Linked DNA regions of Rattus norvegicus. The protein of the gene in region 2 interacts with the protein of the main gene of each other region in a biochemical or structural test. Links are inferred from orthologs where the notes say so. Each region holds a gene or a part of one and is shown on either strand. Other genes may lie near its edges.

Region 1 (5,862 bases), on a different chromosome or scaffold from region 2:
AACTCAGGGTGCACCCCCAGAGAAGGGACAGAGAGGATTTAAAGTCAGGCGCAGGCGGTTGAAGAGGTAGGGATGCTGATCTCTGAGTGGGACTTGGGCATTGCATTCTCGAGCTCACAGATGCTGTGTTGCTTGCACAGGACCCACACAAACCTGAGGATGCCAACACTCTGTCACGGAGGGCAAGGGATTCGTGCAGCCCCACCCCAGCCTGAAGACTTCTATGCAGTTAATGGTTGGTAGGGAAGGGAGAGACATTGTCTTCAGTATGCAGACTCTGGGAAGCATGCTCCCCTAAACAACCCTAATGAAGCTCACTGGGACTGAAAACTAAAAAGGACATGAAAATGGAGGGCAGGAGAGAGATAGTTGGAAAGAGGAGAGGAGTTAAGTGTGAGGAGGGCCAAGGGAGGACAGGCCGAATGTGTAGAGAGTGTGGTCAGAATGCATTAACTACAATATGAAAATGTCATGTAATCCATTATGTGTGACTAATATATGATAACAGTGTTCCTCTTTCTAGTTTCATCACACACACACACACATACACACACACACACACACACACATTTAAACCTAGATTCCCTGTTTGAGGAACAAAAACATGTAAAACTTGCCTTCCTGAGTCTGGCTTAAATTTCATATTTTTATATAATTTTATTTATAGTTAACTTAGGATTTTTAAAGTATTTTATTTTATTTTTGAGATTGTTTTGGTATGTAGCCCAGATAGGCCTGGAATTTGTAGCAATTCTCCTATCTTAGCCTCCTGAGTGCTAGTGTTACACATATATGCCAGTATGCCCTGAAGAATGTTGTATTCTTTTTAAAAATAAAGTTTCCCCATATTTTGTATGTTTTAAAATAGTCAGATATTGCATTATTTACAGTAGCAATACATTTCCTTTTAATGCTAGATGAGGATAATCTCAGAGATATTGTTTTATTCTCAGGAAATATTGCTAGAGAATTATGGTTAATTTTAATTTATGTGAACCACAATTGAAATTCTTTATGTGGAATATTAACTTCAAGTTGCCTACCAAGGGCTCAATGAAGAGGGTACAGTGCGTTTTGTGTTCAAAATCATGATTTTCTGAAGGGAGTTTGAATAGTGCAATACCAGAAAGGATTGCTAATATCTTAAACAGAGGAAGTTTGTATCCAAACTACACCTTTCCCAGGTTTTTTTTTTTTTTTTTAAACTTGAAACTAATTTTGTAACATATCGTTTGTTCAACTTCCTCATTTGCGGGCATTTTCACACTGAATCAGATCTTGGGTGGGTTGATATGCAACCATTGAGGAGAGGATTTATGCAAACCGAGATGTGGAAGCGCTCTCTGGAACAACCTGCCTTGTCAAGGCACAAATGCCACAAATATGGATGGCTCCCTGAAACGGGGTCTTTTCCAAGACAGGGGCTGTAGGATCAAAATGTCAAAAAGGCTTTCTCTCTTTCTTTCATTCTTCCTCCCCTCTCTTTCCCTCTTCAGTTTCGGAGAGAGAGAGAGAGAGAGAGAGAGAGAGAGAGAGAGATCCCTTTGTTTCCCTGGTATCTCAAACTCCTAGACTCAAGTGCCCCTGCAGCTGAGACAGTCCTGAGTAGCTGGGACTCCAGACTGCACCGCTCTCCTCAATTCTCTCGAGGCAGGCTGGCCTAGAAACTGTAGATTCTCAGCAAGGTAGATTTTAGCTTTAGTTAGTTTTTGTTCCTTCGCTGTTTACTTGCAGTGCGTTCTGGGGGTACTGTGCTAACTGCCTGCCGGGTGCTTCCCATCCTACCGAAAGCAGTGCTCTCTATGTTTACAAAGCTACTGGAGGTCTGAAGAGGTACAGAGACCAACACTTCCCTTAATGGAGGCCAGTACTTACTTCCCCAGACATGGGTGAGACGACCTGTCAGAAGCAGTGGACTTTGCTTCCTCTAAAAGAAAATGTGAGGTTTATAATGGAGGCTCGACAAGTTCTGAAATAAAAATGCCCACTTGATAAGCAAGAGGTCTGCCATGATCATATCTACCAGAGACTTTGGGGATAATCGTCCAGGTAGAAGATAGGTAACTCCAGAGTCTGTCTCCTTTCCAGCAACAAGGCACGGGTGTCACCCAGGCCTTTGCTCACTGGGGGAACGTGGAAGGCCGAACTCCCAGGTTGGAACTGTACTTTCTGCCTCTCCTCTGGGAATCGAAGGAGAGCTGAGAGCTGTCTGAGTGACAGAGTGGAACAGACTCTGAGCTAAGCAGACCACAGTTTGTGTTCTGGTTAGCCTCTTGTTTGTTACATTTGAACAGTAGCCAAGTTTCTTTGTTGAGAAAGGAAGGCGCTAGGGCCCTGCAGGGAGAGGATGGCTTTGTTGTGTGACCACAGAAGCTAGTTTTGTACTAATTTCCTCTAGGGCTTGTGATGAAGTCAGTTAACCACAGCCTCCAGCACGCCCGGCTCATGCAGCAGTGGTGGCTTCTTGGTGGTGTCTTGGCCATGACACATATTTGACATGCCCTCCCTTAACCCACTCACAGACTCTTGCTCTACGGCATGGACCAAAGAGAAATTCTGCAGCAGCTACTGAAAGAGGCCCAGAAAAAGAAAATTAACAGGGAGGAGTTTGCCAATGAATTTCTGGTGAGTTCTGTAATGCTCTTAAGAGCAGTTGGATAAACTGTAACAGTCTGCTGGGATGGAGCTTGCCTAGACTCAGTTGCTGGAGAGACAACATGAACACAGAAGGGAGGAAGGTGAACTAAAGACATAACCTCTCTGGGTTTTGTTGTATCTGTGTGTTCAGGGTTTTCTCCAGGTATGCTGGTGTTAATGCGGGGTTTGCGTGTTCTTTGAGTGTAACAATCCTATAGAAGGTCCAGACAGATATATGAGTATTCATGCTTTCTGAGCATCTGGAGAAAGCATTTGCATTGTGATTTATGCTTCAAATTACTAATTTTAATTGATACTAAAAAGAAAGAGTAACTTTTCATGTTAAGTGTTATTTTTAGCTTCCTGGTAGGATATCGTTGGTATAACAGGCTTTTGAAAAATCACCCAAACTATCCTTTGCCACTTTTCCTCCTTTCCCTTTTGTAACAAGTTGATTATCAGAACGGGCATTTTCCTTTTTTACAGTAACTGGGTTTCTTTAACGTATACTGTCTGGAGAAGTGGACTGGGTAGAGTAGGGAGTAGAGAGGAGTGAGGGACACGGAGAGCAAGGCAGCCTGGGAGCAGGAGGACTTGATTACCCAGAACAATGAATCCACTTGGAGGGAGCCATAGTTGACAGTGCAATGAAGCTGGGTAGGCCATGCTCCGTCCAAGTCAGGCGTGCGGGATAGCATGATGACTGGCATACCAGTCGTGCTTTTGGTTTTTGGGTTTGCTTGTTTTGTTTGTTTGTATCGGTACCTAGCTCTGCCCGGCTTACAAATCACTATGTAGATTAGGTTTGGCCTTGAACTCAAAGATCCTCCTGCCTCTGCCTCAGAATGCTGGGATCAAAGGCATCTACCACACCGGCCTTTTGTGTTTTAAAATGCTTCTAATTGGTATTTCAGAACTATAAGAATGTTAAGCCTTAGCCCTTCAGCCTTGAATTGAGAAAAATGAAGCAAATTGACTTGGCCATCATCCAAATATCAAGTATTTAACATGTTCCCAAATCATCCTAAATCTTTGTTTTCTAGCTTTTAAAAAATAAGGATAATAATTTATGTCCTATCTACCCTCATTTTGGATTGTTGTGATGATTACATATCAATAATTATAATAATTAAATGAGTACTATGGAGACGCCTAGAGACCCATTTACTTGGAAAGCTGAGGTGGGTTAAATCTTGAGTTCAAGGCTAGCCCAGGCAGCTTAGAGGGACTTGTCTCAAAAAAGGGATCATTCCATAATATTTACTGAGCACTTACTGTGTACCAACTTTGTTTCTTCACGCTAAGATACAATAGTAAACAAAATGTCTTTGCTTTCCAGCGCTAACGTTCCAGCACCAGATAAATTAGACGAGATGCTTTCACTGAACAGATAGTGTGATTAGATATCACAGCAGGCTAGTGTATAGTGGTTCAACTTCGATGCTAAAATGTTATGCCAGCTCAACTTGCATAAGGTCATGGTGTCATTAAAATCTTTTCTTTCTGCCACAAGTTCTCAGGTTAGATTAGCCACAGGGTAGAGTTGCCAATGTGTCTGCTTAGATACAAACATGCCTGTTTACTGTATTATTGAGACATTCTTGTGACAATTTATAAGATACAGAGGGGAACGGGAGCTGAGAGGCAGTGCCCGCTTTGTCTTATTTTGATTGTATTTTTCAAAACAGAGCAGACTATATCTCTAATATTTTAACCACTTGTAGATGTCATGATAGTTTCTTACCAAACCGGCAGCTACCTCCTGCCTCTCTTTCTAGCCTTGTCCCACCTTAGTTAATTTCTTAGACAAGGTCTCACTATGTAGTCAGAGCTGGTCTGGAACACACTATGCCGACCAGACTAGCCTTGAACTCAGAGATCCACCTACTGTTGCCTCCTGAGTGCTGAGATTAAAGGGGTACACCACCACGCCAGGCTCCAAAGTGGTTTTTTTAATAACATAAATCCGGTTATATTGGTCTCAGCTTAAAAGAACCTTTTATAGCTTGTATTTTCTAGCTGCTTGTAATTGTGAACTACGATATATATTTAGAAAACTACATGAAATGTGTGAATGAAGTTATAAAGGAACCATTGCCAATGTAGTCACTGCCCAGATTAAAAATAATTGCAGTACTGTCTAACTCCGAGAGATTCCCGACTGTCCCTTCTACAGATGGCTTCTCCACCCACCTCACCCTCACCCCACCCGACTCAAGGGTAAATCACTGTCCTGGTTTTATACTAATCATTTCCTTGCCCTTCTAGTTCCTTATGTTTGAGAACCTTCTTTTGGGGAGGTGATTAAGTGGAACCTCACTGTTCACTGACTCATGTCCTCCAGTGGAAAAAACAAAGAGTTTTACCCTAAAGCCCCACCTAAAGGCTCAACTGAGACACAAGAAAAATAGCTTTCAGAGAGAGGAGCTATTGGCCAGGGAAATGCCGCCATCCCACTGGAAGGTTCCCACTTGACTTCTGCCTCCAGTCTACTTGAAGCCCTTGTGTGTATGAGATTTCAGAATGAATTCTGTGACGTAAGGGCACTGGTAACTGCCTTAGTGGCAATTACCATACAGCATTTACACTTAAATGTAGATTTCCTGTCCTGACTTTTGTTGTTGTTGAGTTTTCATTATGTGGCTCTGGCTGCCCTGGAACTCACTCTGTAGACTAGGCTGGCTTCAAACTCTCAGAAATCTGCCTGCCTCTGCCTCCTATGTGACAGAATTAAAGGCACGTGCCACCAAGCGTACTATGCTCCCTTAAAGACAGATTTGCATTTTGTGTGTATATACGTATTGTTTTGCCTGCATGTGTATAGCATGGAGTTAGTGGAGGCCAGAAGATGGAGCTGGATGCCTTGGAACTGGTGTTGTGAATCACTGGGTGGATGCTGCGAACTGAGTCTAGGACCTCAGCTTTAAGCAGCAAGTGAGCCATCTACTGAACCATCTTTCCAGACCTTTCTTTATTTTTATATTTTTAAATGTGCGTGTGTGTGTGTGTGTGTGTGTGTGTGTGTGTGTTCACACACATGTAGGTGCCACAGCGAGAGTGTGAAAGTCAGAGAACACCTTGGGAGATTGAGTTCCCTTCAGAATGTTCTAAATTACACTTATGCATCTGTTTAGTCAGTAGGGGGTAAGGTATGTATGCCATGGCTCATGCATGGAGGTCAGAGGACATATATCAGTGCCTGACTAGCACACTCGAGGCCCCGAA
Region 2 (5,228 bases):
ACACACACACACACACACACACACACACACACACACATATGGAGGTACATTCAACTATAAATAAAAATAGAACTTTTTCTTTAAAGGAGAGGAGATAAGGAACATTGCATGTCCCTTGGAGCCTGGCCCAGCAATTGTGGCCTGAGGAAAATGGGGCAGGAGCCCGAGAGGCACAATGTGACATTTGAGCGCAAACTTACAGATGGAGTTAGAGGGTAGCGGGTGGGTGTGAGAGTCACAAACACAGGGTAGGCAAAATGGCGCATCTGATGAGGCGTTCTCGCCCTCCGCTGAGCCTACCAATCTGAGTTCAATCCCCAGACACCCAGGTTGTGGAAGGAGCGAACCTGTTCCTGAAATTGTCTTCCTACCTCCACACCTGAGCTGTAGCACACACACACATACACTAAAAAGTAAAAACAAAAACAGAGTCAGAAACACAATGGCGTGGTCTAAGGACAATAATGGTGGGTGAGTGGTGAAAACAAAGTAGTTCAAAGTACAAGTTGCATGTGTGTGTGTGTGTGTGTGTGTGTGTGTGTGTGTGGTGTGTGCGCGTGTGTGTCTGTTTGTGTGGTATATACCATAATAGACTGCAGTACTGAGAGAGGGACTAGGTCTTTTTTTTTTTTCCCCTCTTTTTTCTTTTTTTCAGAGCTGGGGACCGAACCCAGGGCCTTGCGCTCGCTAGGCAAGCGCTCTACCACTGAGCTAAATCCCCAGCCCCGGGTCTTCTTGACAACAAAAACATGACAGTGTAGCCCTTTATTAGTCCTAACACTCAGAGACAGGCAGATGTCTGCAAGTTTGAGGCCAGCCTGGTCTATAAAACGAGTTTTAGGCCTCAGGGTCAGCTGAGGCTACGTAGTAAGACCTCAGCTAAAGAACTAAAACAAAACTTAATCTTCTCGTGGTAAACCGTTTGTTGAGGACCAGTGCTCAGGAAGGAGGGACATGGGGATTCCAGAGGCTTCGGAGGGAGCCCTGCTGTGACTTGCTGTGTCTATGAGGTTCTGCTTGATTTCACTTGACGAAAAGTTTCCACAGCTAAACCAGGCAAGTGAGCAACGCAATTACAGCCAACGAGGCCACCAACAGTTTTCCTTCTGCTGCTCAAAAGCTTGTCTGAAGAAACCCTCTGAAGGGGACTGTGGTTGTGAGTGGGGGTGGGGGTGATGAGCTGAAGGTTGACTGTAAGGAGTTGGAACCTCTCAGCTTCAGTAGCTAGGCAGGGGACTTGTACTGAGAAGGGACAGACACCCTTCATGGTAGAGGTGAGTGGAATGAAAATCTAGGTTTCCCCCAGAGCTTGGCAAAGTGTGTGTGTGTGTGTGTGTGATGTCTCCCAGGTAGTCCCCCAATTGGGGACTAGCAGAGCTGAGGAGGGCAGGAAGTGGGTAACTAGACTAACAAAGACGGCGGTTTGCCCTTCCCAGGTGGGAGGGTGGGGACCAGCCTTGGGCCTGAGCCTCCTGTGAACTCGTTGCTTGAGGGCTCGGAGTAAACCCAGTGGGAAACTAGAATTCCACTTTTCAGCTCTTCTGTCTACGGCCAATGGGGGCCTCTGAGCTGACAATCTCAGGTAGTTTTTGTAGTTTCCTGGGCTGTGCTCTAGGATGTCTGATGTTGGGGGAACTGGCTTAGGGGGAGCTCCTTCAGGCCTCTCTACATTCCTTCAGGGATCATGGGCTGTGTCTGCAGCTCAAACCCCGAAGATGACTGGATGGAGAACATTGACGTGTGTGAAAACTGCCACTATCCCATAGTCCCACTGGACAGCAAGAGTACGGTAAGAGGAAGATGGGATTGGTGAAGGGATGGGGGGATAGGAGTGGTGAAGGGAGGGGGGAGATAGGATTGGTGAAGGGATGGGGGGGATAGGAGTTATGAAGGGATGGGGGCTGGGAGGGATGGGATTGGTGAAGGGATGGGGGATAGGATTGGTGAAGGGGTGGGGGTTGGGGGATCGGATTGGTGAAGGGCTGGGGTGGGAGGGCAGATAGGATTAGTGAAGGGATGAGGGGAGATAGGATTGGTGAAGGGATGGGAGGAGAGAGGAGTGGTGAAGGGATGGGCAGGTGGGGGATAGAATTGGTGAAGGAATGGGGGTAGGATTGGTAAAGGGCTGGTGTGGGGGGTTTAGGATTGGTAAAGGGATGGCATGGAGGAAACATTGTGTATCCAGGGGGAAAAAATAAATAAACGGATCACAACTAAAGGCTCTGGAAATAGCAGCATTCCCATCTTCTCTGGAGTGCATCACAGAAGAGGTCCACATAGAGGAATGGACCTTCCTAAAGTCAAATGTGCACGCGCGCGCGCGCGCGCGCGCACACACACACACACACACACACACACACACACACACACACGCACACAGTTGGTGAATTCAGAGGCAAGGTCCAGCCAGACTGGAGAAATAGAAAGAGTATAGAGGGGAGGGGAACCAGGGTCAGATCCAGTTTTTTTTCTCTGATCCCAGCCTCATTTCCTACCCCACAGCTGCCCATCCGGACCGGCTCTGAAGTTCGGGACCCACTGGTCACCTATGAGGGCTCCCTCCCACCAGCCTCCCCGCTGCAAGGTGACTCCATCCACAGCGTGTGAAACATAATAACAGCAGACTGTGGAGGCTTGCCCGTTCCTGTCCATACCCTCTTCCCCATCTCTCCACTTAGTCTGCATCCTGTGTCTCTAGAACGTCACTGTTCCTGTCAGCCCCAGGCTGGGTCCTCTTGACTCCTTCTCTCTTTACAGACAACCTAGTTATTGCCCTGCACAGCTATGAGCCCTCCCATGATGGAGACTTGGGCTTTGAAAAGGGTGAACAGCTCCGAATCCTGGAGCAGTGAGTATACCTCTAACCTACCTTGCCGTGTGTGTGTGTGTGTGTGTGTGTGTGTGTGTGTGTGTGTGTGTGTGTGTTTGTGTGTGTGTGTGTGTCCTCAGCCCTCCTGCACCCCTGACTGGCTCTGGCCACAGCAGAGGGCTTTTGGAATGAGGTAGAAATCTCCAGAGTGCTTGATACGGGGGAGTGATGGCCTAGTCTAACTGGGGACTCTGAGGGGTTTCCAGTGGCTCTGTACACCGTGATGATGGTCTCTGTGGTGCAGGAGCGGTGAGTGGTGGAAGGCTCAGTCCCTGACCACTGGCCAAGAAGGCTTCATCCCCTTCAACTTCGTGGCGAAAGCAAACAGCCTGGAGCCTGAACCGTGAGCAGGAGACCTCTGTGGGGATGGGAGGGGTGGGGAGTAGGGGAGGCACATCCAGGGATCTCAGAACAGGGCGTGGTCCAGGGAGTGGGGGGAAGTTTGACTGGGATGGAGGAAGAATTGGACAAAGGTGGCACAGGCTTTTAATCCGAGCACTTCGGAGGGAGGGGTAAGCGAATCCCTGAGTTAAGGCCAGTCTGGTCTACAGAGGGAGTTTAAGGACAGCCAGGGCTGCACAAAACAAAAAAGAAAGAAATAGACCAACAGCCGATGGTCTTGCGTCTGCTTTACACAGTTGGTTCTTCAAAAATCTGAGCCGTAAGGACGCCGAGCGGCAGCTTTTGGCGCCCGGGAACACGCATGGATCCTTCCTGATCCGGGAAAGCGAAAGCACCGCCGGTGAGAGAGAGCCTGGTGGGCGGAGCCTCGGTGTGGGCGGGGCTGTGAGGTGAGGGCGGACGCCTGCGGGCGAGGAGATGGGCGGGGGGTGAAGAGCAGGAGGAAACGGGTGCGGTGGCCACCTGATTTATGGAAGGCAATCCGCCTCTTTTTCTTTTCCCTTTTCAACTAATCTCTTTCCTCCTACCCTCTCCAATCTTTCTTCAGGATCCTTTTCACTGTCAGTCAGAGACTTCGACCAGAACCAGGGAGAAGTGGTGAAACATTACAAGATCCGTAACCTAGACAACGGTGGCTTCTACATCTCCCCTCGTATCACTTTTCCCGGACTACACGATCTGGTCCGCCATTACACCAGTGAGCTCTGGCGGAATGCGTTCACCTGTGCCTTTCCTAGCAGCCTATCTACCCCCAGTCCTTCTTAGAGACCCTCCAAGCATCTTTCTTTCCCCTTCAATGGATGAGGGGTATAGTACCTGACCCTGGACCCTGCAGGCTAATGTTGGATGACCCACACGTCTCCCCTCCCATGTCAGTCTGTTATCCCTACGAATAAAGTGGAGAGAGGTAGGAGCTGAAGGGAGCATCCAAGGTCTCTAGTGACCGCCTTACCCTTCTCCTTTGTCCATGCAGACGCCTCTGATGGGCTGTGCACAAAATTGAGCCGTCCTTGCCAGACCCAGAAGCCCCAGAAACCATGGTGGGAGGACGAATGGGAAGTTCCCAGAGAGACATTGAAGTTGGTTGAGCGGCTGGGAGCTGGCCAGTTCGGGGAAGTGTGGATGGGTGAGTGTGGCTCTCTGTACTGATTGGAAAGAGGGGAGGAAGTGTGAGCTTCCTCTCACACTGGCCTATTCAGGGCGGCTGCCTGGTTCGTCAGGATCTTGACCTCTGTAACTCCTCTACCCGTATCCCGTCTCCCAGGATACTACAATGGACACACGAAGGTGGCAGTGAAAAGTCTGAAGCAAGGGAGTATGTCTCCTGATGCCTTCCTGGCAGAGGCTAACCTCATGAAGCAGCTGCAGCACCCGCGGCTCGTCCGGCTTTATGCAGTGGTCACCCAGGAGCCCATCTACATTATCACAGAATACATGGAGAACGGTGGGTATGCTTCCATGTCCAGCCGCTTGAGGGCGCTATTGTGGCCTCACTGCCTTTTGCACCCAGGCTAGGAATGTGCTTTTTTTCTCTGGCCTGCCACTGAAGGTTTCTAAGGACGCTTTCCTGGGCCCCTAGGCCTCTGATCTATCAGTTCTAATTCTGATAGTCCCTGATGTGCAGTTTCTGTTGCCTTCTGCCAATGCCCACCTGGATCCCAGAATGCTTGACCCAAGAAATAGTGTGCGGTGCCTGGTGCCTGAAGAGACCAGAAAAGGGTGTGGGATACCCTGGAGTTACAGACAGTGGTGAGCTACTGGAGATCAAACCCAGGTCCTCTGGAGGGACAGCCAGTGCTCTCCTCAAACACTGAGCCACCTTCTAGCCCCAACATGTAGTATGTTTGTGAAGGATCCAAGAGTCTGACTGCCCGGATAGAGTTGAGGCTTTATAATCTTGTATGGCTTTGGGCTGATCACATCATTGCTTTCTGCTGCAAATAGTTCTTTTTAATCT

The links.
Region 1: of the proteins of Lck (region 2) and Ptpn22, one has a biochemical effect on the other in vitro, tested with the Homo sapiens proteins (3 studies listed by IntAct, with this or other methods). The link is inferred for Rattus norvegicus from reciprocal best matches to the Homo sapiens genes LCK and PTPN22.

The regions. Positions count from the first base shown.
Region 1 is NC_086020.1:194,052,818-194,058,679, forward strand, and holds the start of Ptpn22 (tyrosine-protein phosphatase non-receptor type 22), read left to right. Parts: upstream 1-2,426; 5' UTR 2,427-2,538; coding exon 2,539-2,625; intron 2,626-5,862. UniProt on the Homo sapiens protein: Acts as a negative regulator of T-cell receptor (TCR) signaling by direct dephosphorylation of the Src family kinases LCK and FYN, ITAMs of the TCRz/CD3 complex, as well as ZAP70, VAV, VCP and other key signaling molecules.
Region 2 is NC_086023.1:147,179,888-147,185,115, reverse strand, and holds part of Lck (proto-oncogene tyrosine-protein kinase LCK), read left to right. Parts: intron 1-1,444; exon of another isoform or gene 1,445-1,554; coding exon of another isoform or gene 1,555-1,582; exon of another isoform or gene 1,583-1,679; coding exon of another isoform or gene 1,680-1,684; coding exon 1,685-1,789; intron 1,790-2,502; coding exon 2,503-2,584; intron 2,585-2,757; coding exon 2,758-2,848; intron 2,849-3,113; coding exon 3,114-3,212; intron 3,213-3,507; coding exon 3,508-3,611; intron 3,612-3,818; coding exon 3,819-3,968; intron 3,969-4,223; exon of another isoform or gene 4,224-4,244; coding exon 4,245-4,397; exon of another isoform or gene 4,398-4,535; coding exon 4,536-4,715; exon of another isoform or gene 4,716-5,228. UniProt on the Homo sapiens protein: Non-receptor tyrosine-protein kinase that plays an essential role in the selection and maturation of developing T-cells in the thymus and in the function of mature T-cells. Plays a key role in T-cell antigen receptor (TCR)-linked signal transduction pathways.